2 linked regions of the Oryctolagus cuniculus genome follow. The protein of the gene in region 1 interacts with the protein of each later gene in a biochemical or structural test. Links are inferred from orthologs where the notes say so. Each region holds a gene or a part of one and is shown on either strand. Other genes may lie near its edges.

Region 1 (15,610 bases):
TCACATCTGAAAATGGCTGTCACTCGTGACCCTGCCAGTCCTTATGTCGGCTGGGAAGGTAGACACTAGCCTGTGTGTGACAGGGGCCTAAAGAAATCAGAGCTCCCGCAGAAAATAAGGTAGAGCCTTGGAAGCAGCCCAGAGTCCTGCCCATTCCCCAGGAGCTCTGCAGGTGGTCCCAGCCTTCCCCCAAGGGACACTCCGCAGCAGGACTGTTCCTACCCTCCGCCATCACTCGGCTGCCACGGGCATCTCGAGGGTCTGCAAATCACTTTTGAGCAGATCTTGACTTCGCAGAGGCAGGGCCGTGTGTGGCATGGGGACAGCTGCCCAGAACCACTCCAGCCTGGGCCAGCAGCTCCGCAGGCGTAGGAAGCTGTGGAGCAGCCCTGGAGCTTTCCAGTGTCAGGGCCCAGAGCTCACGCTCCGTCCACCCGGGAGCCCACCCAGCACCCTTTCGGGCCTGTTTACCCTCATGCTGGTGAACAGCTTTCCACCCCCAGACAGGTCCCTTTCTGCGTGTGGCAGTGAGTGTTCGTGTCTGTCCCTGGGAAGGAATAGCCTTTAGGCAGCCTTTGCTGGGTGGCGACAGCACCGGCCGTGGACAGCCCCTGACCCGTGGTAGAGATGGGCACGGCTCAGCGTTTGTTCTGCAGCCCTGTGGGAGCGGGGGTGGTTTGAGGCCAGGGATGGGAAGGACGAGGTCACAAGGTGACTCCGGTCACTTAGGAGCTCCTGGAATTGGGCAGCAGCACTTGGGCGTCAGCACTCTGAGGCTGAGGCTGGAGTCCCACCCAGGCAGTACAGCGCAGTGGCTAGCCCCATTGACTCCAGAGCCAGCCTGACCCAGTCTGCTGGCTGTGTGGCCGGGTGAGATGTGTGAAGCCGATGGCAGCACCTGCCTTGCGGGTTGTTGGCAGTAACCAGGTTGGTGAGGGTGTGGGCAGTGGTCAGTGTGGTGCCTGCTACATTGTATCCATCGCTGGTGACTCCTGACGTGGGCACCACAGTGCCCGGCTCCTGGGGGGAGATGCACACCTAGGGCGGGCCCATACAGCTCAGTGGCCCTTATCTCGGCTTCTTAAGCACATTCCGGGCTCTGAACCCTTGGCTAACCCTGGATATCTCAAGCGGGAGACGCCCAGGTGCCCAGTGAACAGGGAAGCTGTGCAGCAGGCAGAGAGGGGGCGCCCCGCGCAGATCAGGGAGGCCAGATCTCACTCAGCCGAGGGAGGCAGCCTGGCGCAGGGGCTCGGCCTGCGTGGAGACAGAGCTGGCTGCGTGCACAGGCCAACGCCACGTGCCCAAGGTGGGAGGCTGCGTCCAAGGGTCTGGGAGGCTGTGACCTGGCTGTGGCAAGTGGGCAGGAGCCGGGAAGGGCTTCTGAGCACCCTCCACACCCAGCCCAGCCACCACAGCCCCAGCGCAGCCCCTCCTCCAGGAAGATGCCCTTGGGGGCCAAGACCCCGGGGGCGGATGGCCGGCGGCTCTGGGGCAGCCAGGTCAGGCTCCTGCACCGGCCTGCCTCCAGCTGGGGGAACCCTGCGTCTCTGGCTGCCAGCCCCGTTTCCTTCTGCCCGAGGCTCTGGACGTGCACACACACTCTGACTCCCCCGTGCTCCCCTGCATGAGGTCCGGGCCCTGTCGGCCTTTGCCGAAGCTCCGGGACCCAGCGTGGGGCTCTGGCTCCTGCTGCTGCTCTTGGGAAAGCCTCGCTTCTGTGGGCAGAGCACTGGCAGCGCCTCAGAGCGAGCAGCTGCAAGTCGAGGCCTGGGCACCCGCTCCCGGCACAGCCGGGCAGGCAGCCTCCGAGGCCTGCTGGGGCCAGAGACGGCAGCATGCGGGCACCGCCTTGGGCAGAAATGCCGAGGCCAGGCCGGCGGGGGAGGGGCTGCTGTGCCCGCAGGCAGGCGCCGCGTCCTGTGTGGGTGGGTGTGGGTGGGACCTGGGGAGCGGGCTGGGCACTGCAGGGAGCTCTGCACAGCCTCCCATCCGAGCACGGCCCAGCCTTCCAGACGGGGCTGCCGCTGTACACTCACGTGCACCCACGTGCGCACACGCACACGCCTGCACCATTTAGAGGAAGGAGCAAGAAAGGGCGGGCGTGTGTGCTGAGCCCGTCCCAGGGGCCTGCGGTCCCCACCTCCTGAAGTCTGTGCTTGGGAAGGGGCCTTCCTGCCTGGCCTGGGCTCTGCCTCTTCTCCCAGGCGCCTGCCTCTCACCTGGAGACCCCCAGGTCCCCCGCATGCCTGTGCGGGCCCAGGCGGTCGCCGACTGCCCGCGCTTCCCACCCCTCCCGCAGTCATCCTGACGGATGAGGAGGTGCAGCGGAAGCGGGAGATGATCCTGAAGCGGAAGGAGGAGGAGGCCCTGAGGGACAGTCTGCGGCCCAGGCTGTCCGACGAGCAGCAGCGCATCATTGCCATCCTGCTGGACGCCCACCACAAGACCTACGACCCTACCTATGCCGACTTCTGCCAGTTCCGGGTGTGTGCTGCCGGCAGCAGGAGCGGGGTGGGGGTGGGGCCCAGCCTGGCAGGTTCCTGGCCCTGGAGCACTGGACAGCCCTGGCCCATGGGCCTCCCTGGAGATGGGAGAGTTGAGACCCCGTGTCTCCCTGCAGCCTCCGATCCGCGAGGCGGAGCGTGGACAGAGCCACCCGTGGAAGCCCACACCCAGCTGCTCCGGGGACTCCTGCTGCTCGGGCTCAGACCACCTCAGTTCCTTCTCAGGTACCCAGGGCCCCCTGCGAGAGCCCAGCCCAGTGCACTGGCCGGGGTGGGGGAACGTGCCCCAGGCCTGTGCTGGGAGGAGGCCAGGCTAGGGTCCGCCTCTCGCCCAGGCCCCTTCTGTGGGGCCAGGTTCTGCCCATGGCCGTTCCCTGGAGCTCTCCTGGCTCCTTGTGAGAGTGTTTTGTCCCCAAGTCCCCTGGGAGGGGGCATTTGGAGTAGCCCCTTGCAGCACCCCCAGTCTGGGCCCTGCCACCTGCACGTGGGAGACGGCTCTTCCTCTCACACCCCTTGACCACTCACCCTGCCACCTGCCCTGTTCTCCCTCCGCCCCTCAACTGGCCCTGCTGTCCCACACCAGGGGTTGTTAGGAGGATGGGGATGGAGAAAGCCCTCACTCCAAGCAAGCTGAGCCCCAGATCCGCCACCTGCGGCCCCAGTGCTGGGACCAGGATGGGTGGATGGGGTCCCAGCACGGCCTGGACAGAGGCGGCAGATGAAGCTTCATGGGTGGACAGATGGGAGGGGTCAGTGCCAGCAAGATCCCCACCCCCAGATTCTGGTGTGGGCCCCCTGTGCTAATTCTGCACCCACTCCTGCCCTTCCCCACTGCCATCCAAGTCCCCCTTCCGCGTCTCGGCAGCTCCGTGCCAGCTGGAGTGACGCCACTTACAGCTGACTGACAGGGGGCGTGAACCCCAGCTGTGACGCACTCAGTGTCTGTGTGCACAAGTTAGCGCTTTTCATTTTAGAAGATGCTTATCATGGATAGATGCTGGAAGGTCTTCCCTGGAGAGTTCCCACAACATTCGTGGGAAATAGAAGGAAAGATACTGATTTTGGTGCAAACGTTTCTTCAAGTCGTGCATGGTTTTTCCATCCTGTGTGTTTTCCGTGACACCCTGCAGACCTCTTGCGATCCCGACACACCTGCGCCCGGCTGTGTCACGGGTGTGTACCTGGGGCACCTGGATGCTCGCCTGGCTCCTGTTGTCCATGAGCGGCATCGCTGTGGTCCCTGAGTGCACACATCTGGTTCCCCCCACACCCACGCAGACCCCGGCGCCTCCGTGACGCATGCGGGGTGAGCTCCTCCTCTTCCCTCCACTTCCCCAGAGCTGATGGAGCCGTCCAGCCTCTCCAGCCTGGAGCAGGACCAGGAAGATTCAGATGACCCTTCGGTGACGCTGGACCTGTCGCATCTCTCCATGTTGCCCCACCTGGCAGACCTGGTCAGCTACAGTATCCAGAAGGTCATCGGCTTTGCCAAGATGATCCCAGGGTTCAGGTGAGAGGCTCCGTCATGCCTGGAGCAGGGTTCAGGACCCGTGGCCTGGGGCCCCCAGTCCACTGCCGCTGACCAGACTCAAGCCAGCCCATATCTGTGTGTCCAGAAGTGCAGGCCTCCCTGCTGGCTCCAGGGCCTGTTGGGAACATGACCCCTCCCCATGCCTGAGATGGAGGGAAAGCCCCGAGCATCTCGGTGGCCACCAGGGGCTCCTTCCTGGAGCTGGAGCCAGCCCCTTGGCGCGTCCACAGCGGACCTCACCCCCAGACTGTGCCTCTAACTGCGGCCTGCTGATGCCTCTGCACACAGTCTTGAGCCAGAAAACCTGACAGAGAGGAGACAGGGAGCAGTGCAGGAAGCCAGAGGACGCGTGGCAGCGGTGGCCGTGACCTGGTCTTTTCCAAGCCAGCAGGCGCGTGAGTGAGGTCACTCAGAGGAGTTCCACTTTTTAGTCCAGTGTTCTCCTGTTGGCAGTGGTGTGTGAAGCTTCTATTTAACCATGCAGGTGGTGTTGATATTCTTAAACCAGTAGACTGTTGTTACTTTCAGTACATACCTAGTGAGACTGTGTGTCTGCACCTGAGTGTACCTACACCCTCACGGTGGGTACGTGGTGAGACCGTGTGTCTGCATCTGAGTCTATCTACACCCTCACTGTGGGTATGTGGTGATTCTGTGTCTGCATCTGAGTGTATCTACACCCTGACTGTGGATACGTGGTGAGAACCTTGTCTGCATCTGAGTGTATCTACACCCTGACTATGGATATGTGGTGAGACTGTGTGTCTGCATCTGAGTGTACCTACACCCTCACTGTGGGTATGTGGTGATTCTGTGTCTGCATCTGAGTGTATCTACACCCTGACTATGGATATGTGGTGAGACTGTGTGTCTGCATCTGAGTGTATCTACACCCTCACGGTGGGTATGTGGTGATTCTGTTTCTGCATCTGAGTGTATCTACACCCTGACTGTGGTGAGACTGTGTGTCTGCATCTGAGTGTATCTACACCCTGACTATGGATATGTGGTGACACTGTGTGTCTGTATCTGTGTATCTACACCCTGACTGTGGATATGTGGTGAGACCGTGTATCTGCGTCTGAGTGTTATCTACACCCTGACTGTGGATATGTGGTGAGACTGTGTCTGTATCTGAGTGTACCTACATGCTCACTGTGGGTATGTGGTGATTCTGTTTCTGCATCTGAGTGTATCTACACCCTCACTGTGGATAGGTGGTGAGAACCTATGTCTGTATCTGAGTGTATATACACCCTCCCTGTGGATATGTGGTGAGACCGTGTGTCTGTATCTGAGTGTATCTACACCCTCCTTGTGGATATGTGGTGAGAATCTGTGTCTGCATCTGAGTGTATCTACACCCTGACTGTGGATACATAGTGAGAACCTGTGTCTGCACCTGAGTGTACCTACACCCTCACTGTGGGTACGTGGTGAGACCGTGTATCTGCATCTGAGTGTATCTGCACCCTGACTGTGGAGACATGGTGAGAACTTGTGTCTGTATCTGAGTATATCTACACCCTGACTGTGGGCACACGGTGAGAACCTGTGTCTGCATCTGAGTGTATCTACACTCTCACGGTGGGTACGTGGTGAGACCGTTTCTGCACCTGAGTGTATCTACACCCTGACTGTGGATACATAGTGAGAACCTGTGTCTGCACCTGAGTGTACCTACACCCTCACTGAGGATACATGGTGAGACCATGTATGTATATCTGGGTGTACCTACACCCTCATTGTGGGTATGTGATGAGAACCTGTGTTTGTATCTGGGTGTATCTACACCCTCCCTGTGGATACTTGGTAAGAACCTGTTTCTGTATCTGAGTGTACCTGCACCCTCATTGTGGGCACATGGTGAGAACCTGTGTCTGCATTTGAGTGTATCTACACCTGACTGTGGGCACATGGTGAGAACCTGTGTCTGCACCTGAGTGTACCTACACCCTCCCTGTGGATATGTGGTGAGACCGTGTGTCTGCGTCTGAGTATATCTACTCCCTCCCTGTGGGTACAAGGTGAGAACTTGTGTCTGCATCTGAGTGTATCTACACCCTCCTTGTGGTTACATGGTGTAACTTGTGTCTGCATCTGAGTGTATCTACACCCTCCTTGTGGTTACATGGTGTAACTTGTGTCGACATCTGAATGTATCTACACCCTCCCTGCGGATACATGGTGAGACCATGTGTCTGTATCTGAGTGTATCTGTACCTTCCTTGTGGATATGTGGTGAGACCACTGTGTCTACAGCTATGTGTTTCTGCACCCTCCTTCTCTCTAAAATTGATATGTTCCATTGCCATGGAATTAATGCACATAGAGACTTCAAGAATTGCAGGGAATTAAAAGATGTTTTTGCCCAAAAATCATTTTTCAAATGTGCACAGCGTTTTCATGTTCACTTTTCATGATCTCTATAGACTCCTCCTGTGCATAGAGTTAAACATTTTTTCTACCTAAATAAATCTCTTTCGGTTCCCTTGTCCTCAGAGTTTACGAGGTCCCCTCTTGCACTGTGACTGACCAATAGACAGGAAGTGATGGACACGTGTGGAGTGAGCCCTCCTGGGGCAGCTGTGCCTGTGGTGGCTGCAGAAGCTCCTGGTGTGGCTGCTCGGGGCCTGCCCGGCTTCTGCTGCGACCACACTTTGCTCTCGCTGCTGTGGGCGGGCCCCGGCGTGGGGAGGGCGATGGCTGCTGTGGCTGTGCTCCTGCTTGTGCCCAGCCCTTGGGCTGCCCCACACAGGTCCCTGGAGTAGCTGGTGCCATGGGAGAGGCTGGCAAAGGGGGCAGTGGTGGCCCCTGTACATGCATTCCCGGGGCTTCTCCCCTCTGCTCAGCCCTCTGGCACTGGGCCTAGGCGTGGCCATGACACCGTCCCTGCCTCCTGGGGGGCGTACACAGGGAGCAACTCCCCTACCACAGGGCCACAGCCCTGGTTGGGTGGGGAGGACGGGGCAGCACAACCCAGCCACAGCCCAGGGACCCAGCAGGGGCTCACAATCCAGGAAGCGCCTGGCTGGCATGGGGAGTGGTCATACTGGGTTCCTCTGGAGCGCCACCTCCCACCCACCTCTGTCCCCCGCTCCGGCTGTGGCTGTACCTACAGTGTCCTGTGTTTCCAGGCTGTGGGTGGGGTTGTGGGTCCATGTGGCTTTGCTTTTGTGGCAGCGGCTTGTCTAGGTCACGGTAAGCGGCAAAGCCATTGACATCTCTGCCAAGCGCCACAGGCTCAGCACTCAGCACCGTGCTCACGTCCATGCACTCAATACCACACCTGTACCCACTGCCACACCTGTACACACATCACACTCACCACACCTGTACACACATCACACTCGCCACACCTGTACCCACATCACACTCGCCACACCTGTACCCACCGCCACACCTGTACCCAAATCACACTCGCCACACCTGTACCCACCGCCACACCTGTACCCAAATCACACTCGCCACACCTGTACACACATCACACTCGCCACACCTGTACCCACCGCCACACCTGTACACACATCACACTCGCCACACCTGTACCCACCGCCACACCTGTACACACATCACACTCGCCACACCTGTACACACATCACACTCGCCACACCTGAATATGCCACCACGGTCCACCACGCCTGTACATGCCACCACACTCACACACCATGCACTATTCTGGGTGGGAGGGGTGACAAGTGACCAAAACGTCCACAAACAGGCGAAGGGGAGGCTGATGGGGTGAGTCAGGTGCGCACCCGCCGCGAGTGGGCCGCGGGAGTTTCACTGACACAGGAAGTGGGCTGCAGAACGCGAGTTTGCGCAGACGGATGACAGGGAGCGCGCCGCATGCTTGGCGCGTTCTGAGCCCTTGTTCTTTGCCTTTGTATTTTTTCTGTTTTGTCCAGGGATGTATGAGAAGCTATGGTTTACTTGTCTGATGAGCTAAACCCAAGTGGGGTGGGGTCGGTTTTTATGTTAAAATGAGGACTGAGGGTAGGGGAGAGCGTCGGCACGCATGACGTTCTTCCTGGGAAACGAGGCAAGACTCCGGTCCCCGCAGCCGAGCGCAGCTCCGGGACTGCGGCACCGTGCGGGCCGCGAGCACCCGGCTCCAGCTGCGTCCCGTGGAGGCAGTGTCAGGCCAGGCGCTGGAGGGGGCCCCGCCTGCTCCCACACCTGGGCTGCTCCATGCAGATGCGGGCGGCCATCCCAGCAGACATGGAGCCATCAGGGCTGCCTGTCCTGATGCGCATGCGTGCGGCCGCTCTCTGGAGTATCCGTCAGGAGGAGAAGCCGGCAGGGGAGAGCCTGGGTCTGCCCCTCCTGGCCGTGTTCAGGCAGGCCCCGCTGGCGACTCAGACGGAGGCTCTCGTCCCAGCGGCGTGTGCTTCCCGGGAGGCCCCTCACAAACAGCCAGACCGGGGATCAGAGCCCAGGACGAGCTGGGGGCACCGAGGGGAGTGGGCTCTGCGTGTCCCTTTTCCCGTGGGCTGCTGATGAGTGGCTTTGTGCTCAGAAACACAGCCTGGCTCCACACCCACCCCACCGCCTGCCCTGCCCTCCTACTGCCACCGCTCCCACCTCGGCCCCAGCCGGGGGCTGTGTGGAGGGGAGCCCCGCAGAGAGCTGGGGTGGGCGCGCAGGGGGGCCCGGCTGCTCGGCTCTGGGGCTCACCTGTCACCTGGGCTCCAGGTGCACTGAGCTGTCGTGTCGGCCCCTCCCCTCAGGGACCTCACCTCCGAAGACCAGATCGTGCTGCTCAAGTCCAGCGCCATCGAAGTCATCATGCTGCGCTCCAACCAGTCCTTCACCACGGACGACATGTCCTGGGACTGCGGCAGCCAGGACTACAAGTACAACATCAGCGACGTGACCAGAGGTGCGTCCAGCCCACGGAGGGCCGGGGGGGAGGGGGGCATGGTGGCTCCAGACCTGCCCGCAGCACGCACCTGTCTCCCCCAGCTGGACACAGTCTGGAGTTGATCGAGCCCCTCATCAAGTTCCAGGTGGGGCTGAAGAAGCTGAACCTGCACGAGGAAGAGCACGTGCTGCTCATGGCCATCTGCATCGTGTCCCCAGGTGTGCCCGGCCGCGGGGAGCGGGCAGGACAGAGGGCCCCAGGCGGAGAGGCCCATGGCAGGCACCGCTTTGCTGCCTGTGTTGAGGGCCCCTGAGACCACGGCTTTGCTCTGTGGAGACCGCAGGTCACCGAGGAGCCAAAGCGCCGGGTTCGGTGGTCCTGTGTGGGCCTGGGTGTCCTCCAGACCGGGGCCTGCTCTCTGTGGAGCCGGCTGGGCTTCCTGTGGCTGCAGCTCCTCAGAGTCAGGGCCTGGGGGTGGCACCGCCTGGACCCCCCTCTTCCGCTTGTTTGGGCAGGGAGAGGGAAAAAGGCTGAGGAAGAAGCTTCCGTGCCCCAGCGTCAGAGTGAGGGGAGCCCCAGGCCCCGCAGCTATGGCGGATACCGGGCACCAGGCTGGGCCCTGGCTCGTGCCCCAGGCAGCCTGGGCAGGCACCTGCTCCTGCTGCGGTTCAACAACTGACTGACAGAGGGAGGCTGATGGGGACCCTGGTGGAGACGGAGCTCCAGGACAGATGGACAGGGAGTGGAGACAGAGCTCCAGGACAGATGGACAGGAGTGGAGACGGAGCTCCAGGACAGAGGGACAGACAGGGAGTGGAGACGGAGCTCCAGGACAGATGGACAGAGGAACAGGAGTGGAGACGGAGCTCCAGGACAGATGGACAGATGGACAGGAGTGGAGACGGAGCTCCAGGACAGACGGACAGATGGACAGGAGTGGAGACGGAGCTCCAGGACAGATGGACAGATGGACAGGAGTGGAGACGGAGCTCCAGGACAGATGGACAGAGGGACAGGGAGTGGAGACGGAGCTCCAGGACAGAGGGACAGAGGGACAGGGAGTGGAGACGGAGCTCCAGGACAGAGGGACAGGGAGTGGAAACAGAGCTCCAGGACAGATGGACAGATGGACAGGGAGTGGAGACGGAGCTCCAGGACAGAGGGACAAGGGACAGGGAGTGGCGACGGAGCTCCAGGACAGATGGACAGGGAGTGGCGACGGAGCTCCAGGACAGATGGACAGGGAGTGGAGACGGAGCTCCAGGACAGAGGGACAGAGGGATAGGGAGTGGAGATGGAGCTGTGGGGAGCAACTCGGACTAGACTGTTACTGGAATTAAGACTTATTCTATGCATCTGCTCTCCCACAATATGGCACTGAGAAGGGAGTAACAACTTCTACGCAGCTGCCTCTCGCAAACTTGAGTGATGACCTGCAGGAGCTGATGCTGCTCCTGATTGGAGGAGAGCAGCGTACTCGGCGTGTGGGTAGCAGAGTTGGGATTGGTGGAAGAGGACTATAAAGGAGGAGAGAGACAACATGCACCAGGAACATCTATCTGAAGGAACACCTGTGCAGCCCCCGAGAGAGCCGGCCGGCGGTGTGCCGCTCCCCCGCGGAAGTGGGAAAAGTGGCAGGGGGAACCGCCCTTCCATGGAGGTGGAAGGGACGGTAGCCAACCCGGGAAGAACCAGCAGCAAACCCGGGGAGGGCCGAGCAGACAAAAGAACAGCGCAGGGTCCTGTGTCGTTCCTCCACAAAGAGGGGGAGCGACACGGAGCTCCAGGACAGATGGACAGAGGGACAGGGAGTGGAGACGGAGCTCCAGGACAGAGGGACAGGGAGTGGAGACGGAGCTCCAGGACAGATGGACAGATGGACAGGAGTGGAGACGGAGCTCCAGGACAGATGGACAGATGGACAGGAGTGGAGACGGAGCTCCAGGACAGATGGACAGATGGACAGGAGTGGAGACGGAGCTCCAGGACAGAGGGACAGAGGGACAGGGAGTGGAGACGGAGCTCCAGGACAGATGGACAGGGAGTGGAAACAGAGCTCCAGGACAGATGGACAGATGGACAGGGAGTGGAGACGGAGCTCCAGGACAGAGGGACAAGGGACAGGGAGTGGAGACGGAGCTCCAGGACAGATGGACAGATGGACAGGGAGTGGAGACGGAGCTCCAGGACAGATGGACAGAGGGACAGGGAGTGGAGACGGAGCTCCAGGACAGAGGGACAGAGGGACAGGGAGTGGAGACGGAGCTCCAGGACAGAGGGACAGGGAGTGGAAACAGAGCTCCAGGACAGATGGACAGATGGACAGGGAGTGGAGACGGAGCTCCAGGACAGAGGGACAGATGGACAGGGAGTGGAGACGGAGCTCCAGGACAGATGGACAGATGGACAGGAGTGGAGACGGAGCTCCAGGACAGAGGGACAGATGGACAGGGAGTGGAGACAGAGCTCCAGGACAGATGGACAGACAGGGAGTGGAGACGGAGCTCCAGGACAGATGGACAGAGGGACAGGGAGTGGAGACGGAGCTCCAGGACAGAGGGACAGATGGACAGGGAGTGGAGATGGAGCTCCAGGACAGATGGACAAGGGACAGGGAGTGGAGACGGAGCTCCAGGACAGATGGACAGAGGGACAGGGAGTGGAGACGGAGCTCCAGGACAGATGGACAAGGGACAGGGAGTGGAGACAGAGCTCCAGGACAGATGGACAGATGGACAGGGAGTGGAGACAGAGCTCCAGGACAGATGGACAGAGGGACAGGGAGTGGAGACGGAGCTCCAGGACAGAGGGACAGAGGGACAGGGAGTGGAGACGGAGCTCCAGGACAGAGGGACAGGGAGTGGAAACAGAGCTCCAGGACAGATGGACAGATGGACAGGGAGTGGAGACGGAGCTCCAGGACAGAGGGACAAGGGACAGGGAGTGGAGACGGAGCTCCAGGACAGATGGACAGATGGACAGGGAGTGGAGACGGAGCTCCAGGACAGATGGACAGAGGGACAGGGAGTGGAGACGGAGCTCCAGGACAGATGGACAGAGGGACAGGGAGTGGAGACGGAGCTCCAGGACAGAGGCACAGGGAGTGGAAACAGAGCTCCAGGACAGAGGGACAGATGGACAGGGAGTGGAGATGGAGCTCCAGGACAGATGGACAGATGGACAGGAGTGGAGACGGAGCTCCAGGACAGAGGGACAGATGGACAGGGAGTGGAGACAGAGCTCCAGGACAGATGGACAGACAGGGAGTGGAGACGGAGCTCCAGGACAGATGGACAGAGGGACAGGGAGTGGAGACGGAGCTCCAGGACAGATGGACAGAGGGACAGGGAGTGGAGACGGAGCTCCAGGACAGAGGGACAGGGAGTGGAAACAGAGCTCCAGGACAGATGGACAGATGGACAGGGAGTGGAGACGGAGCTCCAGGACAGAGGGACAAGGGACAGGGAGTGGAGACGGAGCTCCAGGACAGATGGACAGAGGGACAGGGAGTGGAGACGGAGCTCCAGGACAGATGGACAGAGGGACAGGGAGTGGAGACGGAGCTCCAGGACAGATGGACAGAGGGACAGGGAGTGGAGACGGAGCTCCAGGACAGAGGGACAGGGAGTGGAAACAGAGCTCCAGGACAGAGGGACAGATGGACAGGGAGTGGAGATGGAGCTCCAGGACAGATGGACAGATGGACAGGAGTGGAGACGGAGCTCCAGGACAGATGGACAGATGGACAGGGAGTGGAGACAGAGCTCCAGGACAGATGGACAGACAGGGAGTGGAGACGGAGCTCCAGGACAGATGGACAGAGGGACAGGGAGTGGAGACGGAGCTCCAGGACAGATGGACAGATGGACAGGGAGTGGAGATGGAGCTCCAGGACAGATGGACAAGGGACAGGGAGTGGAGACGGAGCTCCAGGACAGAGGGACAGGGAGTGGAGACGGAGCTCCAGGACAGATGGACAAGGGACAGGGAGTGGAGACAGAGCTCCAGGACAGAGGGACAGAGGGACAGGGAGTGGAGACGGAGCTCCAGGACAGAGGGACAAGGAGTGGAGACAGAGCTCCAGGACAGATGGACAGATGGACAGGGAGTGGAGACAGAGCTCCAGGACAGATGGACAAGGGACAGGGAGTGGCGACGGAGCTCCAGGACAGATGGACAGGGAGTGGAGACGTAGCTCCAGGACAGAGGGACAGGGAGTGGAGACAGAGCTCCAGGACAGATGGACAGAGGGACAGGGAGTGGTGACGTAGCTCCAGGACAGATGGACAGGGAGTGGAGACGTAGCTCCAGGACAGAGGGACATGGAGTGGAGACGGAGCTCCAGGACAGAGGGACTGATGGACAGAGCACAGGATGTGGAGGTGGAAGTAGGACTTGACCCAAAGCACAGGACGGTGGGTTCCAGCAGGTGTGGCTGGGGCCACAGAATGCTGGGTGGGGCGAGGCAGGGAGAGTGGGGGCTGCAGGCTGAGCCCTGTGCCCCCCTCCCCACGCCCAGACCGTCCCGGGGTGCAGGACACCCGGCTGGTGGAGGCCATCCAGGACCGCCTGTCCAACACGCTGCAGACCTACATCCGCTGCCGCCACCCTCCGCCGGGCAGCCACCAGCTCTACGCCAAGATGATCCAGAAGCTGGCGGACCTGCGCGGCCTCAACGAGGAGCACTCCAAGCAGTACCGCTGCCTGTCCTTCCAGCCGGGGAGCAGCACCAAGCTCACGCCCCTGGTGCTCGAGGTCTTCGGCAATGAGCTCTCCTGACCGCCCTCCCCCTCTGCCCCTGCAGCCCACCCCACTCCTCCCCTCCCACCCCTGCCCTGCCACAGGCCCAGGGAGACGCCCCACTCCGCAGGGGACTGCAAGTGCTGGCTGAGCATCCAGCAGGCATGACAACGCGCCCAGGCCCTCTTCCTGAGCCCCCACAGCGAACGGCCAGAGGGTCACCCCCACAGCGAACGGCCAGAGGGTCACCCCCACAGCGAACGGCCAGAGGGTCACCCCCACAGCGAACGGCCAGACGGTCACCCCCACAGCGAACGGCCAGACGGTCACCACCACAGCGAACGGCCAGAGGGTCACCCCCACAGCGAACGGCCAGAGGGTCACCACCACCACGTCCCATTGCCCGTCTGTGCTCACCTGACCTGGGCAGGGCTGCCGAGGGCCTCCCACCCCTGTTGTCTGGACACTTGCTCTAGGGCTCTGGGGCCAGGTGGTGGGTGGCTGCCATCTGAGAAGTCGGGTGAGACCCTTGAACCTGTGACGTTCCTTGCTTGGGGGGGCAGTTGGGGGACATGGCTGCCACCACCAGGAGAGTCTGGAGACCCCTGGGGCAGACTTGGCCCCGCAGCAGCCGTCCTGTGGAAGCTGTACCACTGCCACTGTCTATGCTGTGTTCTGATACAGAGGGGAGCAGCGCCCCCGGCCCTCGCGTCAGTTACCACCGTGGTTGCTGCCCAGGGGCCCAAGGAGACCCCCTGGCTGAGGTTCAGCTGCAGGACTCGAAGCTTGGAGGTCACTGAGCAAGTGCACCCTGCGGCCAGAACCCTGCCCCCCGGGGAGCCCCGGCTTCCACACAAGGACCTCCCTTCCGAGCCTCTGTCTCAATGTGAATCAGTGCCGGGTTCCTCCTTGTTCAACGCTGATCAATAAACGCGTCTGCCCCGCTCTGCCCGCGGCCTTGCCTACTCCAGGCTCTGACCAGGCGGAGCTCGGGACGCAGCCCCTGCCGCCCACCTGGGAGCCCAGTGCAGGAGGGGAACGTGGGGCTGGGTGGGGCTGGGGGCGTGTGCAGAAGGCGCTTGCAAACCGGAAGCCGAGGTGTGAGCGGGGTCGGGAGCAAGTGCGGGGCAACAGATTCCGGGAGGGAGGGTGGGGTGCTACCGGGGACTCCCTGAGAGCAGAGACTGGAGCAAACCCGTGAAGAAGCTGCCCTTCCTGGGGCACCTCCCGGGGGGCGAGCACGCTCCCTGAGGACTCCCCGGCCCTGACCACCCCCTGCCGCCTCTGGTGGGGACAGTTTGAGGGGCCTGACAGCACCGTCCCAAACTGCAGGGGAGGGGTCCCATTCTCAGGTGGGCCCCGAGGAGCAGGGTCCATCAGTCCCGCCCCTGAGGCGCGTGTGGCTGCACCTGAGGCCTTCCCAGGGCAGCAGGTGCAGGTGGCTGACGGGCCCAGGGCGCCGCGTGCACGGGAAGGCGCTCCTGCCCGTGTCTGTCCCGAGGTAGTCGCTCTGTGTGCCTGTGCGGCTGAAAAGCTCTTGAACCCAGGGCTTCTCACGCGTCGTGAGTGGGCATGAGGGTCTCCTGGTCGGGAAAGGCGAGTGGACTCGGAGGCACGGCTTTGCCGGGAGGAGGGCGGGTTGAGGGCATGTTGGGAGAGCCAGGCTTTTCCTCGTGACTCTGAGGCTGCTGCGTGTGGTCATCACTTTCCCCACCTGCGCTCGCACTGTGGCCACCTCGGCCACTGGATGGAGAAGGCTTAGACTTAAAATAGCTACCATTGGATTGGGCAGGCGTTTGATGTAGCAGTTAGGACGCCGGGCACAGTCCTCTGGGTTCAGTTCCTGGCTCTGGCTCCTGACTCCGGCTGCCCACGGATGTGGGCCCTGGCAGGCAGCGGTGATGGCTCAATGCCTCGGGCCTCCCCTACCCGCATGGGGGACTTGGGTGGAGTTCCCAGCTCCCTGGC
Region 2 (14,606 bases), on another chromosome or scaffold:
AGGAGGGCTTCTGGTAGGACGGGCGGGCGTTCGGCAGGTGCAGGCAGGGCCTTCGCTCCGCTCCTGGGGCTCCGGGCTCTTCCCCCGCAGCCCTTTCCCAGCCCTGAGAGGCCCTTGGCGGCGTCCTCCCGCCCCGGAGAGGCCGGGCAGGGAGAGACTGGGCCCCTGCCCTTCTGCAGCCGCTCCAGCCTGGACTCCGGCATGTGCCCCCACTCCGGAGTCTCACAGCTCATCCTTCCTGGCCCTGGCTGTTCCCTTGCTCTGGGATGCCCCGCCCCTCCCTTCCTCCCTGGCCCCACCCTATGGGGGCCGCCTGCATGCTCCCCACCGCTGCCTCCCTCCTGTTTCCGGTGAACCCCCCTTGGCCCTCATGGTGCAGTGTCTGAGCCCATCTCCCTACCTGGATTGGAATGTGAGCACCAGGAGGCGGGGCTGAAGCCCACCAGCTCTGAGTCTGCCTGCCTACCAGGCAGTGAGTGACCAGGGGTTCACGCTCCTTAAATCGTCTTCCCTAAAGAAAAAAAAATCTGCCTTGGGTGAGAGCAGGAGGCGCCTCTGAGGGTTTGCCCTGCTAATATGAGGCCTTTTAAAAATGCTTACGGGAACTGCAAGTTCATTTGAAACCTATGCACGGATGGATGGCAAAAAGAATTCTGCAGCCAAACGTTGGCTTACGTTTTTGGTCTGTTTTTCCGTGGACTTGTAGAAGGGCCTCCCAGAGACTTGAGGCCCCCTGGACGAAAGGCACGGGGGGGGGGGGCGAGGATTTTGAGTCAGGTGGCATGTTGGAGGCGGTGTGGTTTAGTAACCCACACCAGCAGGGAGAGCCTGGGACAGCACCGAGGGCGGGGCAGGAAGGGGGCAGCTGAGGCTGTCCCAGGGAGGGGTTTGCTGGACAGAGTGGTTTCTTGCCAGGAGGCCCTTGTCTGGGCTGTTGAGGAGGTAGGGGCCACCTTTAAAGGGCCTTTGGGGAGCGGGGCACCATGGGACACCCTCCAGGGGTACTGCTCTCTGCGTCTCTTGCTCTAGCTGTCTGCAGGCTTCCCGCTAGGGGCCAGTGTTGTCTTCAGCCCTCTGACCCCGTTCTCTCTCTGTGGTCAGCAGGTCAGGGGCCAACCGTGAGCGAGGACAAGCCAGGCAGTCCACGCTGCTGTAGCCGTTGCCACCACGGGCTCTTCAACACCCACTGGAGATGCCCCCGCTGCAGCCGCCGGCTGTGTGTGGCCTGTGGCCGCGTGGCAGCCGCCGGGAGGGCCAGGGAGAAGGCAGGTGAGACGGGAGGGAGGGGCTCCCTGGGGCTGAGGGGTGAGACAGAGAGCCGGGCCATTTGTAGGGGGGAGGGGTGGCGGAGGCCACAGCAAGGCTGGTCCACAGCACGGAGAGCGTCCCCACCCGGTGCCCAACCTGCCCGCCTGCCCATGGCCAGCGCTGCTCACTGCCCCTTAGAGTGGCTCTCTCCCTCCGCCTAGACCAGAGTGCCACGCTCATGTCCTTGCCGGCCCTTAGAGAAGCCCGGTGCCTCCTCTGTGCCTCCCACTGTGCTCAGCTAGCACCTGTCTTAGCCTGGGCTCACTCTGTGACATGGGTATTGTGGCCTCCGATCTTCAAACAAGTGAAATGCAGAGTGGCGTCGGCGCCGGGATGGGGCGCCGAGTCTGCCCTGTTCCCTCCACGGGTCTCTCAGCTTTCTCTTCCTTGGCCACCTGAGGACTCCCAAGTTTCCCCGTGTTCCCATAGATGTGGCCAAACGGCGTTCCAGGATGCGCTGTGTTCTGGAACATTCTCTTCCGTATGACCGCCCTGGGATCTTGCAAAGTGTCTCCGCGTATTTAAGGTCTCCGTGTTCTGTAAGCAGAGACTCCTGTGTTACGGTGTGAGCCGGGCTTCCCAGAAAGCACCGCTTGGTGAATTCTGGAGCCTTGATTTAGATGTCGCATCCTTGGCCGTCTTCCCTGACCTCGGCCTGTGGTCGCCTTGCATTCTGGACCTGCAGCCTCTCCCTTCCTACCCCACAGGCGCTCAGGAGCAGGCCACACAGCACTGTGCCCAGGAGGCCGGGCACTCCGCCTGCTCCCTAGTGTTAACCCAGTTTGTCTCCAGCCAGGGTGAGCCACCGTGGAGGGGTGGGGCGTGCAGAGGGTGTGTCCTGTCTGGTTGTCCATGCCCTTGTCACCACCAAACTCCCTTTCTCCCTCCCACCCCGCCTCCACGCCCAGCCTTGGCAGAGCTGAGCGCTGCAATGCACCAGGTCTGGGTCAAGTTTGACATCCGGGGACCTTGCCTCTGCCAAGCTGATGCCCGGGTGTGGGCTCCCGGGAATGGAGGCCAGCAGGTAAGAACCAGGGCCTGGCAAGGTGGCAGGGGATGCTGGTGGGACTGTGACCCCTTAGGGGGGGATGAAGAGGGACAAGGGAGCCAGTGACCTCAGACGGCTTCCTGCCTTCCCTGGGATTAGGACCCAGGCAGCCAGCTCTGGCACCTGGCCCACCTCCTCCCCACTGGAAGTCCTCGCTCCCTGCCTGCCGAGAGTCCTCCCCCACGACCTGCAAATCCTAGCACAGCACCTGCCACTGGACGCTGGGTGCCCTTTTGGAGGGTCCCCGGGCTCCTTCAGGAAACATACGTAGCAGGCATTCCTGCAGCATCTTAGCAAAGTTTGCGTGAAGTTCATGATTTGACTATAAAACTTGTCCACGCAACGATGGATGCACCGCGTGCGTGTCACATAGCCATCGTGGAACATTGGGCAAATATGGACAAGTGTAAGGAACACAATGCCGTGGCCTCGGACACTTCCCAGAGCTGCTCTGGTCTGTTCCCTCCCAGTCATTTGTCTGCCTATTTATTCGTCTGTTTTGCTACATGAGGGGACTTCCAAAAGTTCATGGAAAATGGAATGAAAATAGAAGGTTCTTTTGCTGCAAAAAAAGAAATATTGAAATCTACGCATAGTTCTTTTCCTAATGAAATGATTTATTTATTTATTTGAAAGTCAGAGCTATAGAGAGAGGAAGAGAACAGAGAGACAGTGTGAGAGAGAGACAGTGAGAGAGAGAGAGAGAGATCCTGTGATTGAAGGCGGCAGCTTTACCCTGCTACACCACAGGGCCGCCTCTGATGCATAGTTGTTTTTTATTTTAAATATGTATGTATTTATTTATTTGAAAGTCAGAGAGAGAGGGAGAGATGCTTGTTCACTCCCCAAAGGGCCGCAATGACCAGGGCTGGATCAGGCCAAAGCCAGGAGCCAGGAGCTTCATCTGGGTCTCCCATGTGGGTGCAGGGGCCCAAGGCCTTGGGCCATCTTCCACTGCTTTCTCAGGCACATTAGCAGGGAGCTGGATAGGAAGAGGAGCAGCCGGGACTTGAACCGGTGTCCATGTGGGATGCCGGCGTCGCAGGCAGCATTTTGCGTGTGCTTTCAGAGGACCCCTGTGTAGAAGTCCACGAGCAGCTCCGTCCTGCCTCGCAGCCCTTCTTGCTCCTAAAAACGCAACATTAGGACTTGCGAGAGCCCATGCCTCCTTCTTGTAGGTTGAGTTGTGTCTGCCGTGTTTTAAATCTCTGGTTGGATGGGGGGGGTGGCGGATGGGTTTAACAGAAGGAGCCGTCAGAGAAAACTGCCCCAACTGCTCAGCCTTCCTGTAATGGGGACATCACCAGGACCAAGGACATCAAAGAGGGTGAGCGGCCCCCCTGGTCCCTCGGACCGTGCAGGGGGAGGCTGGGCCAGACGCAGAAGCAGGAGGGGAGCAAGCAGTAGACGTCTCTAGGAGAGATCTGGAGCTGCCAAGAGACCCCCGGGCCCAGACCCCTGCTCTGGGCCCCGCCTTCTTCATGTTCAGGAGATTTGGGGGGGGGGGTTAAGAGATCCTGGGGCAGATTTGGGGTGGGGAGTAGCGGGGAGGGGACAGCAGGCTCAGCCAGGGGGTGAGGGCAGAGCACCATAGGCAGAGAAAGACAAGGGGCAACACATGAAGCCCCTCACCAGTCCCCTCCCTCCCACCCCCCCAACAGAAACCCCAGACTGCGGCGAGAACTCAGCAGATGAGCGTGCGGGCCGGGGGCCTCTGCCTTGTCCATCTCTCTGCGAACTGCTGGCTTCCACCGCCGTCAAACTCTGCCTGGGGCACGAGCGTATCCACATGGCCTTCGCGCCCGTCACGCCGGCCCTGCCCAGCGTAAGCAAGGCCGCGAGGAAAGGCTGGGGGACTACCCCCTGGGGGCGGGGACCTCCCCCCCCCCCCCCCCCGCCAGGCCCATGGCTTCTGAGCCTGCGCCGCCCGGCATCCCCTCCTCCCCGCAGGACGATCGCATCACCAACATCCTGGACAGCATCATCGCACAGGTGGTAGAGCGCAAGATCCAGGAGAAAGCCCTGGGCCCTGGGCTTCGGGCCGGGCCGGGCCTGCGCAAGGGCCTGAGCCTGCCCCTGTCTCCAGTGCAGCCCAGGCTGCCTCACGCCGGGGCTCTGCTGTGGCTGCAGGAGCCCAGGCCCGGGCGCAGCCTCCATCTGTTCCAGGAGCACTGGAGGCAGGGCCAGGTGGGGCTCGCGCGCTCTCCTCTCTCTCAGCCCTCCTGCCCCTTGGGCCCCAGGGCATCCAGGCGGGCAGCAGGGTTGAGTCCCGGTGCTATTGGCGCCGCGCTGCGGGCACGCCCCGCACTCACGCCCCGCCCCCCGGGGCCTCCTTCCTCCCACCTCAGCCCGTGTTGGTGTCAGGGATTAAGAGGACGCTTCGAGACAGCCTGTGGACCAAGGAGGCCCTCGGAGCGCTAGGAGGCCAGGTGCAGGTGCTAAGCCCCCTGGGCCCTCCCCAGCCCACGAGTGTGAGCAGCACAGCCTTCTGGGATGGCTTCTCCCGTCCTGAGAGTAAGCACCCCCCCAACCACGGGCGGAGGAGGGAGTGGGCGGGGCCTGAGCCACAGGTACCGGGAGTGCGGGCGGCCCGGGTGGCATGTGCTGCTATCAACGGGCCGGGGCCCTTTCTGTCTCTCTCCTCAGTTCGCCCCAGGTCGGACGAGGGCTCCATCCTCCTGCTGCATCGCACTCTAGGGGAGGAAGACAGCAGCAGGTGTGCGCCGTAGGGGGCCCAGCCCTGGCTCCCTCGCCCCCACCCCCACCCCATGCCGCTTGCTCCGTCGGTCCCCCCAACCCCGGGCGTCTCAGCGGATCCCTGTGCCTGGCTGGGCCTGCTGGGCATGACTCCCTCCCCTCCCCACAGGGTGGAGAACCTGGATGCCAGCCTGCCACTCCGAGAGTACTGTGCCCACCACGGGAAACTCAACCTGGCCTCCTACCTCCCGCCAGGCCCGTCCCTGCAGCCACTGGAACCCAAGCTCTGGGCAGCCTATGGTGAGTGCCCCCTGCACCCCCGCCCACTCCCCGACCCCTGACCCCTCCAGCATCGGGCACTCGTTTGTCGGTGCCAAGGTCCTGAGGCCTGAGGCACTTCTCTTATTCCGCTGCCCCCTCCTCCCCCCCACCCGGTGCAGGTGTGAGCCCACACCGTGGACACCTGGGGACCAAAAACCTTTGTGTGGAAGTGGCCGACCTGGTCAGCATCCTGGCGCACGCCGAGGGCCCGCTACCTGCTTGGCACCGGGCACAGAAAGGTGGGGCCTGGGCCGGAGACAAGGGCGGGGACAAGCTACTGAGGCAGGTGCCCATCTCCGCCGCCCCTGGGCCCGCCTGAGTGGTCTTTCTCCAGCAGATGTCCTCGCAGGCCTGGACGGGGAGGGGCTGTGGTCTCCGGGCAGCCAGGTCAGCACTGTGTGGCACGTGTTCCGGGCACAGGACGCTCAGCGCATCCGCCGTTTCCTGCAGATGGTGAGGAGGCAGCCCGGAGCCCGCCCCCTGCCCATATACCCGGCCCCAGAAGCTCCGCCCCAGGAGCAAGCTCCTGGCCCCGCCCCTCTGTACGGACAGGCGGACAGGCAAGGAGCAAGCAGACTGGGCTCAGAGAAGGAGCAGGAGGCGGCGGCGGAGGCGGGGCGCGGGGCTCGGGTCGCAGTGAACAGCCGTGACCACCGTCACACTGGGCCGCTGCCTGCCCATTTTGCTAGGAGAAAACCGCAGCCCGGTGGGAGAGCTGGGATCCGAGCCATGGCGGCCCCAGACCCCGGTCACCGTGCTGTGCTCTTCCTGGGGGCTCTGGCCAAGGGCTGGCAGGAGGACCAAGGGGAGCTCCTCTCTCATCTCCACCGAATCAGAAGGGACTTCCTGGTGGAGGTGCCAGCCTGCGGGGGGCTGAGGAGGCAGCGTGGCAGGGGAGGGAACCACTGGACCAGGATAGGACAGGGCAGGAGAAAGGGGTCATGGGAGTGGAAGGGAGGCACAGGCTCCAGGAGGGGCAAGAGGTCAGAGTTAAGGCCAGGGCAGGCCCCAGGTTCCAAAATCCAGCTGAGCCCTGATTGTGCTGGGGAAAACTAAAACAACTCCCAAAGATGTGCACATACACAGAGGGGAGACAGCACACCTTTATAAACCAATGGCTTCCCCTGGGCCGGGCTGGGTGTGGCTGACCGTGGGCTGTCCCGTGTGGCCCAACCCGATGACTCAGGGAGGAAGGTCTGAGACGCATGCTCACTGGCTGGCCTGGGAAACCCTGCGCTTGCCCCAGGATGGACTTGAATCTTGGCACCCAGCTGGGACTCCCCTCGGGTCTGAGCGGCCCCCTACCCCATGCCCCGTGAGCCATGGGGTCAAAGGCAGAGGGGCTGGCTGAGGAGGGTGGATTTCGCTGGTGGCCAGTGGTAGTATGCAGCTCTGCAGGTGCTCCATGGGCACCCCTAGCCCCGACAAGGCCCTGCCAGCCCAAGGAGCTCTCTGCTCTTTTGGGCTTGGGAAGCCCCCTGCCCCTGCTCCCCCGTGGCCGCACCTGCTGCAGGGGCCTCAGCCTGTCCAGCCACTGGCAACCAGAGCTTGTGGGTGGCCTTGTGTTTTCTGGATCCGGGCTCTCAGGAGAAGCTGACGAGAGCTTGGGGTTGGCTCCCCAGGGACTGAGCCACCTGCTCATCCATAGTTCAGGCCAACTCAGGTCCTGGGTTAAGACCCGCTGGTATAGACGGTGTGTGAGAGCTGGGGTCCTGTGCAGCGTCTTCTGGGGTGGCCGAGAAAGGGGTACCATTGAGAGGACTCAGAGGGGCCAAACGTGGGGTGCTGGAGCCCCCGGAAGGCATCCACCCTCAGGGAAAGCAACGATGTGGCCCCACAGCTCCTGTGCCTTGAGCCTGGTCCTCTTAGCGCTGTGGGGGCACAAGTTTGCTCTGCCAGCCCGACTGCCCTGCTCACCACGGGGGCCCTGCCTTTCCTCCCAGCCGCTCCCAGCCGCCAAGACTTTGGATGACTCCGGCTGTGTCCCGTGCCCCAGGCCTCCCCTGGGGAGCCCACGCCCCCGTCCTCCCAGCCTCCCTGTTCATCGGCCCTTCTCTTCTTTGAGGTCTGCCCCGCCGTGGCGGGCACCCTGGAGCCCGGCGCCCCGGGCAGCTGCTACCTGGACACAGGGCTGCGGCGCCGGCTGCGGGACGAGTGGGGCGTGAGCTGCTGGACCCTGCTGCAGGCCCCTGGAGAGGCTGTGCTGGTGCCCGCGGGAGCGCCCCACCAGGTGCTTCCCTGGCGGCTGCAGTGCGGGGCGGGTGGTGTGAGGAGGGGTGGGGGTCAGGCTGCCAGGGGCGCTAGGGTGTAGTACACAGAGCTAGGCATGATGGGAGGTGGCGCCTGGCACAGGGAGGAGAGGGGCTGAGTGGTCCCCTTGAGGGGTTCAGCCTGCTAGTATTGGCCCCGGGGATGGAATCTGGTCCTGGCCACGCCCCCTACACCCATGCACTAGTATACTGATGGGGAGGACCCTGTCCCCTCTGGCATCAGGGTATCTGGGGCTGGCCCCAGGCCCTGTGCCCCCTGGGGACTGGGCAGAGGGCAGCAGGAGGAAGCAGGGACAGGGGGAGAGGGCAAGATCGTGAGCCTCTGCTGACCCACCCGCCCGTGTTCTTCCTGGCACAGGTGCAGGGCCTGGTCAGCACGGTCAGTGTCACCCAGCACTTCCTGTCCCCCGAGACCTGTGCCCTCTCTGCTCAGCTCTGCCACCAGGGACCCAGCCTGCCCACTGCCCACCGCCTGCTTTATGCCCAGGTGAGTGAGACCCTCCCCCTGCCGCCAATGCAGGGTGCGGTGGGCATAGCAGGTCCAGCTCTGTGCCAAGGCAGGGAGGGAACGGGGTGGAGGGGGCTGGAGGTTGGGGACTAGGAACGTGGTAGAAAACCCTTTGTCTTCTCTCTCTGTTCTAGATGGACTGGGCGGTGTTCCAAGCAGTGAAGGTGGCTGTGGGGACATTACAGGAGACTGACAAATAGGGGAATCCCAGGTGTCAGAGGTCAGGGCAGGAGCAGGTAGACCAGGTGCTCAGCCCGGGTGATGCTTCAGCAGGGAATGAGGCTGGGGAGCTTGGGGGCTGTTAGTCACTCTCACAAGCACCACAGGCAGGGCACACGGTTCCTGCTCCCTGCCCAGAGTGCCACCAAAGCTGCACCTGCCCCACCCCGTATCCCCCTCCAGGGCACCAGGCCTACACGGGGGGTGACTAACTCCCTCCACCCTACCCCTGCCGCCTCCCTTGGGGGACCTCACAATCATTCTGGCTTTAGCAACTCTTACTTCTGTTGCCTCATCGTCTGCCCTTGAACTCCGCTTCTACCTCCCAGGTACCCCCTGGGCTCCCCCGCCCCGCAGCCCTGCACACTGCAGGCCGGTCTGCCAGAAGAGCCGGGAAGTATGGGGTGGGCAGGCGGGAGGGAGTGCCATGGGCCACGTCACCCTGTCTCACTTCCTTCTCCCCGATTCCTGATGTCCACTGAGGCCCGTGTGGTGGCAGCCCCCAGCGTGGGGGCGGGGAGGGGAGGCGTGCAGTCTGCTCTGGGGCAGGAGTTGGGGGATGGGAGGAGATGGGGACCTCAAACAGCACCGCCTGCTCTTCTTCTGGGCGCCCGGGCCCCTGCCCCCTCCCACGGAGGAGCAGATGGACCCCCCCCCCCCCAGGGGGACGCTTCGTGGAGATGCTCCTGACCGTGTGGCCATGGAAGGCAGAGCCCTGGGACCAACAGCAAGGTGGCCTCTCTCCTCCCAGTGGCTGCAGATTCCAAAGGCACACCCCTTCTGTCTCTCCTGCGCACCCTGACCCGGAGACCCAGGCATGGGGCCCAAGGGAGCCCTTGTCCAGTCCATCTGCCGCCGTGGCCACAGCCACCTCCAGGTCCGGCTGCCTGGGACAGCTTCATTCACAACCTCAGGCAGCTCCCGTCTCCTCCCCATGGCCCCTCTGGCCAGACTCTGCCTTCTACTCCCTCCCTGTGTATCTCAGCCCCAGACAACACCCTGGCTCTTGTCATACCTAATTCTTCCTGCTCTGGTTTGGGGAATGGTGTGTTTTTTTATTATTAAATAAAAATTTTTTATTATAAGTGTAAAGTGCTTTGAAAACCTTTAGAAAATAACAAACTCACCTTCAAGGCTCTCGCTACTCACCCCTGGCCACAACCCAACCACTATTACTGTGTCGGTAAATTTCCTTCTAGTACGCTCCGCAAGGATCTGTTGTATCCAGGACGTTTTGTACTTGGTGTCTCCCAGCACTGTTGTAATCGCTTTCTGTATGGCCCTAACCTTCATTTTAAGCGGCTGCTTCTAGTCCATCCAGTGGCTTTGTCATGATCTACATAACCATCCTCGTCTGAAAACAGATTTTAGGTTTCTTCCTGGTTTAGAGAGCTTGCTGGTTTTCACGTTTTCTTGGTATGAAGGGAAAAACTGGGAGAACTTTATGTTACCATGCGCCTGTCTGCACTGGCCACTTTCAGTCGGCTTTCACACGCCAGAAGAGGGAGCCGGCAGGTGGGGGTCACCAGCAAGGTCAGTGCAGATCTGGGATTTGAACCAGGTTTTCTGATCAAGGCTCCGCACGTGTGAGAGTTCTCGCCGCTGAGACGCTGCTCCCGCTTGAGCACTTTTAGAGCCGATCAGGCACCAAATGACACGTTCCTCCCGACATGTCAGCTGCCGAAGCCGAATCCCGCCATCACCCCAGACCAGGGCCCTTCCCAAGGGAGGGTGAGGCTCTGAACTGTGTCCATTAGGGGTGCCGACGGCCCAGGCACTGTCCCCCTACCCCCACCCCCCCTCCCAGGTAGGTGCAGGATTTGCGAGTTTCACGGGGAATGGGAATGGGGGTTTCAGTGCAGTGGTTAGGACGGGGGCGGGGGCGGGGGGGGGTGCCTGCTTCTCGTTCCGGAGTGTCAGGGTCCGAGGCCTGGCTCTGCTCCAGGTCCCGGCTTCCTGTTCATGAGCACCCTTGGAGGAGGCAGCCGGTGCTGGTTCAAGTACATGGGTCCCTGCTACCCATGTGGGAGACCCAGGTTGAGTTCTGGGCTCCTGGCTTTGGCCTGGCCCAGGCACTAGCTGTGTGGGCACTTGGGGGAGTGAACCAGTGGGTGACAGTCTTCTCTTTCAAATAAATAAGTATTTTTTAAAAGTTCGTGGAAAATATGTGTTATGAAAAATACTATGCATGGATTTAAAAAAATTCTTCTTTCATTCTGTTCTCCATGAACTTCTTGAAGTACCCTCACATCTGGTCTCTGTAAACAGCAGGTGGGTCAATGCCCATTTGCTCCAGGGCTGGGCCTGGGAACAGAGCCAGTCCCGGTGGGGGCTGACCCTGGCCCTCGGCTTGGGGCACCAGTGCCCGGGAGAACCTTGGGCCTCTGCTTCTACCGGGGTCCGCAGTTCAATGTCCACCTTCTGCCGCCAGCCCAGACACCACTGACACGCCCGTCACAGAGCTGGCAGGGAGCTCGGCGTATACGTAGTCAATGCCTTTTTTTCCTTCTCTCTTCTAAAATCCTCAGATGTTTTGTGCTGAAATAATTGTGGTCCGACGGCCGTGTCACCAAGATAGCACAGAAAGCGCCCAGGTGCCCCTCCGCCAGCTTCCCTTAAGACAAACATCTTCCATAAACCCAGTGCCCTCGGCAAAACCAAGACAATACCATCACTGCGTCCCACTGAGACGTCCCGGCTTGCCCACTCTCCCATCCCTGGGTCCGGCAGTTTGTCCATGTTTGACCTTGGCTCCCCCCAAGGTCATTCAAACAGCAAGGAGGCTCTGCCACCAGGCTGCCCCCTCCTGCTGACCACTCGGCCAAGAGCCAGGGCTGCTGCCCTGGAGAGGAATCTCGGGCTACAGACATCTCTGCCCTGCCCTGCTCACCCGTCCATGTCCATGTCCACGTCCATGTCTGCGTTCCTGTGCTGAGGCTGCTGACCCCAGGCCGCCCAGCTCACGTGCGCCAGTTGGGGCACTCATGTCCAATAGGCGGGGCGGCCGCCCGCTCTGGCCTCTGGGAACGGAGGCCACGGGGCAGATTTGAAGATTCCGGAGAGCTTCCGTATCTGCCCCCCCACCCCCCACTTTGTGTGTCTCCCAGGCTTAACCCAAGCAAGCCTCTTGGTGCTGGGGAGGGCGCTCCCCGCCAGGGCCCGCAGGGCCGCTGGACAGGAGGGGAGCGCTCTCTTGGTGAGAACAGGGGTGGGGTGGGGGGAAGTGGAGCTGAGGTTTAGGGCGGTTGGACCGTCTGGTGTTTATCTCAAGATGCCTCTGACGCTCTCAGAGCCATGCCCAGACATGATCTCACTCTCTCGTTCAGTCATCCCTGGAGGCAGAAGGGAGTCTGGCAGCAGTACTGCCCCCACTTCACAGGTGGGAAAACTGAGGATCACACACGCACGGAGCCAATCTGTTGTCCTGGGGTACTGCACCCAGCCCCAGGGAGCTGGTTGAGAGGTGTTGGACAGGGCAAGTGCCTCAAAAGCTTAGGGGGTGCCCGTGTGGCCCTGCACAGGGCTCTGTCTGCAGCAAGCGTGCAGCCAGTCCCCCACCGCGAGAAGGGTCTACGGCTCCCCAGTGGAACCTGTTCTCAGGCACAAGCCAGGAGGGTGGGCCTTTGCGGCGTAGCCCAGCCTGCAGGCTCCGGGGCTGCCCGGGGCCCACACGGCTCCTCTCGAATAGCCTGCCTTGCCATCCACCCTGGCCAAGAAAAGCTGCCAGGAACCTAATCGGAAGCCCACCACATCCCCAAGGAGCGCAGAGCCGGCCGGTCAGCAGGGCGGGTGGGTGGCTTTGCTCTCATCAGCCAGCTACTGTCCCCAACCCCCGAAGGCGGAGGGAGGAGGGGCCGGTGGGGGAGGCCTGTGTGGGTGAGGAGCCCAGACTTGGCTGGCTCTTCGGATTCCTCCCAGCTGGCGGCGAGGAGGAAAGGTCAGGCTGAGCCGAGCGAGCGGGAGCTGGCCACGCTGCAGCGCCCTGCGCAGGACACGCCGTGGACAGGAGGACGCTAAGGGCAGCCCCCAGTGCCCAGCCCTGTCCCCTCCCCGCGTCCGGCCCGCCCCGATCGTGATCACTTAGCATTTAGGCTGTCACCCTCAACCGACTTTTTATTATGGATCAGAACCTCGCGTTCCCGAACCCCAGCCCTCGGCGGGACATCCAGTACGTGTCAGCGAAGTCAGAAGAAAGTTACTTAGGTCGTCATCATCTCAGACAATGCCCTGGCGGGTTAAGACAAAAGGCGGGGGCCGCGGGTCCCGGGGCGGACACCCTGGCCGCCGTGACGTCATCGGGCCTGTGACGTCACCGCCGCGGCGCCCCGCACCCTGCGGGCCAGATGGCGTCACCATCGGAACCTGCGTAAACAAGTATGCGCTCGGGGAGCCGCGGCGAGAGAGAGACAGAAAGAGACAGAGAGAGAGAGACAGCGCGCTGACCCTGGGGCAGGAGCCGGGCCGGAGGTCCGCTCGGCCCCACAGGGCGTTAGGCCCCCTGACGGGCTGGCCCCGCCCCGGGCGGCCGGCGCGGGCCAATCCGGGCGGGCCGCGGCGCCACGCAGCCTATCAGCGGCCAGGGCTCGCCGGGCGCTTCCGCGTTGGGCAGCTCGCCGGCGCGGGCCGGGCCGCACGCTCGGCCGCAGCCCCGCCTGGCCGCTGCGCGGGGCCCGGGCCACCGCCCGCCGGGGCCCGATGGCCTCGGAGGACCTGGCGGGGGCGCTGGCGGCCGTGCTGGAGGGCCGGGGGCTGCGCGTGCACAGCTGTGACTCGGGGCCGGCCGGGCAGCCGCGAGCGCGGCTGCGGACCAACGTCTCCTACGTGGTGCTGGCCGTGTTCCTCAACGAGCAGGTGAGCGAGCCCGCCGGGCCCTGCTGGGCACGAAGACACAACGGCCAGGGCCGGCGCCGCCTCGCGCGTGGCGTTCCCCAGTTCTGCAAAGCACTCACTCACGCGCGCCTCGCAGCCCTGTGGGTGGCCGGGTGCACAGAGGGCTGCGCCCTGGCCCTCGGTTCCTGCAGCACAGAGCTCCCCTCCCCCAGGGCCTAGCACGGTGTGAGCTGGCTCCCCGGGACGTCTGAGGCGTGGCCTGCGCCCCCCCACCCCCACCCCCGCCTGGTTATGGCACAAGGCAGGCTCACGCTCAGATCTGACCCCTTGTCGCTGCTCTGGGTCCCTGTTGTAGGCTGTGAGATAAGAATCAGAAGGGGCCAGAGCCCCAGGTGGGCCTGCATGGGGGTGTTGGGGGGGGATCAGAACCCAGACCCCAGAGTGAGGACCTGCCACTAGGCTGTGCACCCCATGGGGACGCGGGAGACACACAGTGACACAGTGGAGACACACGCGCAGCCCGATCTTGACCCACAGAGAGCAGCTGGCTGCAGGCCCCCCGCCCCCAGGGAGGGGGTCTTGGGCAACCCCAGGGCAGGGAAGGGCCTGGCTGGCTGGCCTCTCCCGTGCGTGGTGGAGAGTGCCAATCCCCTCTCCCCTCAGGACGAGGTGCTCCTGATCCAGGAGGCCAAGAGAGAGTGCCGGGGGTCGTGGTACCTGCCGGCGGGGAGGATGGAGCCCGGGGAGACCATCGTGGAGGCCCTGCAGCGGGAGGTGAAGGAGGAGGCGGGGCTGCAGTGTGAGCCCGAGACCCTGCTTGCCGTGGAGGAGCGAGGCCCCTCCTGGATCCGTTTTGTGTTCCTGGCTCGTCCCACAGGTATGGCTCTCCTGGGGCAGTGCCGTAGCCGCCTTCCTCCGACTCCTCCACCCCCACCCTGTGGTCTTCCGGTGAGATGAGCCCACTCCCTAGCCAGCCCTGTGCTGACTGCTACAGCTCTGGCACTGGCAGACCCTAGCCTGGGGAGGTGGGAGTGGGGGAGGCTCAGCCCCGGCCCCGGCCCCGCTCGGGGTTAGAACCAGGGTGGCCTGCCGGGTCTGTGTCCTCTGTGAGATCCGGTGCTTCTTCCCACCCACACCACTGCTCCTGCCCCCACTCTCCCCTAGGTGGGACGCTGAAAACCTCACAGGAGGCTGATGCGGAGTCCCTGCAGGCTGGCTGGTACCCACGCAGCTCCCTGGCCACTCCTCTTCGAGCCCAGGACATCCTGCACCTGATAGAGCTGGCCGCCCGGTACCGCCAGCAGGCCAGGCACCCTCCCGTTCTGCCCCAGGAGCTGCCCTGCAGTGTGGTGTGCCAGCGGCTCGTGGCCACCTTCACCGGTGCCCAGACGGTATGGGTGCTGGT

Evidence for each region.
Region 2: the proteins of VDR (region 1) and HR form a complex in vitro, tested with the Homo sapiens proteins (2 studies listed by BioGRID and IntAct). The link is inferred for Oryctolagus cuniculus from reciprocal best matches to the Homo sapiens genes VDR and HR.

The regions. Positions count from the first base shown.
Region 1 is NC_091440.1:137,480,925-137,496,534, reverse strand, and holds the end of VDR (vitamin D3 receptor), read left to right. Parts: intron 1-2,302; coding exon 2,303-2,487; intron 2,488-2,623; coding exon 2,624-2,732; intron 2,733-3,845; coding exon 3,846-4,017; intron 4,018-8,768; coding exon 8,769-8,920; intron 8,921-9,003; coding exon 9,004-9,120; intron 9,121-13,421; coding exon 13,422-13,681; 3' UTR 13,682-14,591; downstream 14,592-15,610.
Region 2 is NC_091439.1:1,182,423-1,197,028, forward strand, and holds the end of HR (lysine-specific demethylase hairless), read left to right. Parts: intron 1-1,101; coding exon 1,102-1,269; intron 1,270-2,015; coding exon 2,016-2,105; intron 2,106-2,216; coding exon 2,217-2,332; intron 2,333-3,601; coding exon 3,602-3,683; intron 3,684-4,017; coding exon 4,018-4,181; intron 4,182-4,306; coding exon 4,307-4,543; intron 4,544-4,704; coding exon 4,705-4,870; intron 4,871-5,002; coding exon 5,003-5,072; intron 5,073-5,222; coding exon 5,223-5,353; intron 5,354-5,493; coding exon 5,494-5,613; intron 5,614-5,711; coding exon 5,712-5,827; intron 5,828-7,439; coding exon 7,440-7,604; intron 7,605-8,002; coding exon 8,003-8,131; intron 8,132-8,286; coding exon 8,287-8,352; 3' UTR 8,353-9,463; downstream 9,464-14,606. Other genes in the region: 8-oxo-dGDP phosphatase NUDT18, read left to right, coding at 13,067-13,222, 13,865-14,078, 14,366-14,606. UniProt on the Homo sapiens protein: Histone demethylase that specifically demethylates both mono- and dimethylated 'Lys-9' of histone H3. May act as a transcription regulator controlling hair biology (via targeting of collagens), neural activity, and cell cycle.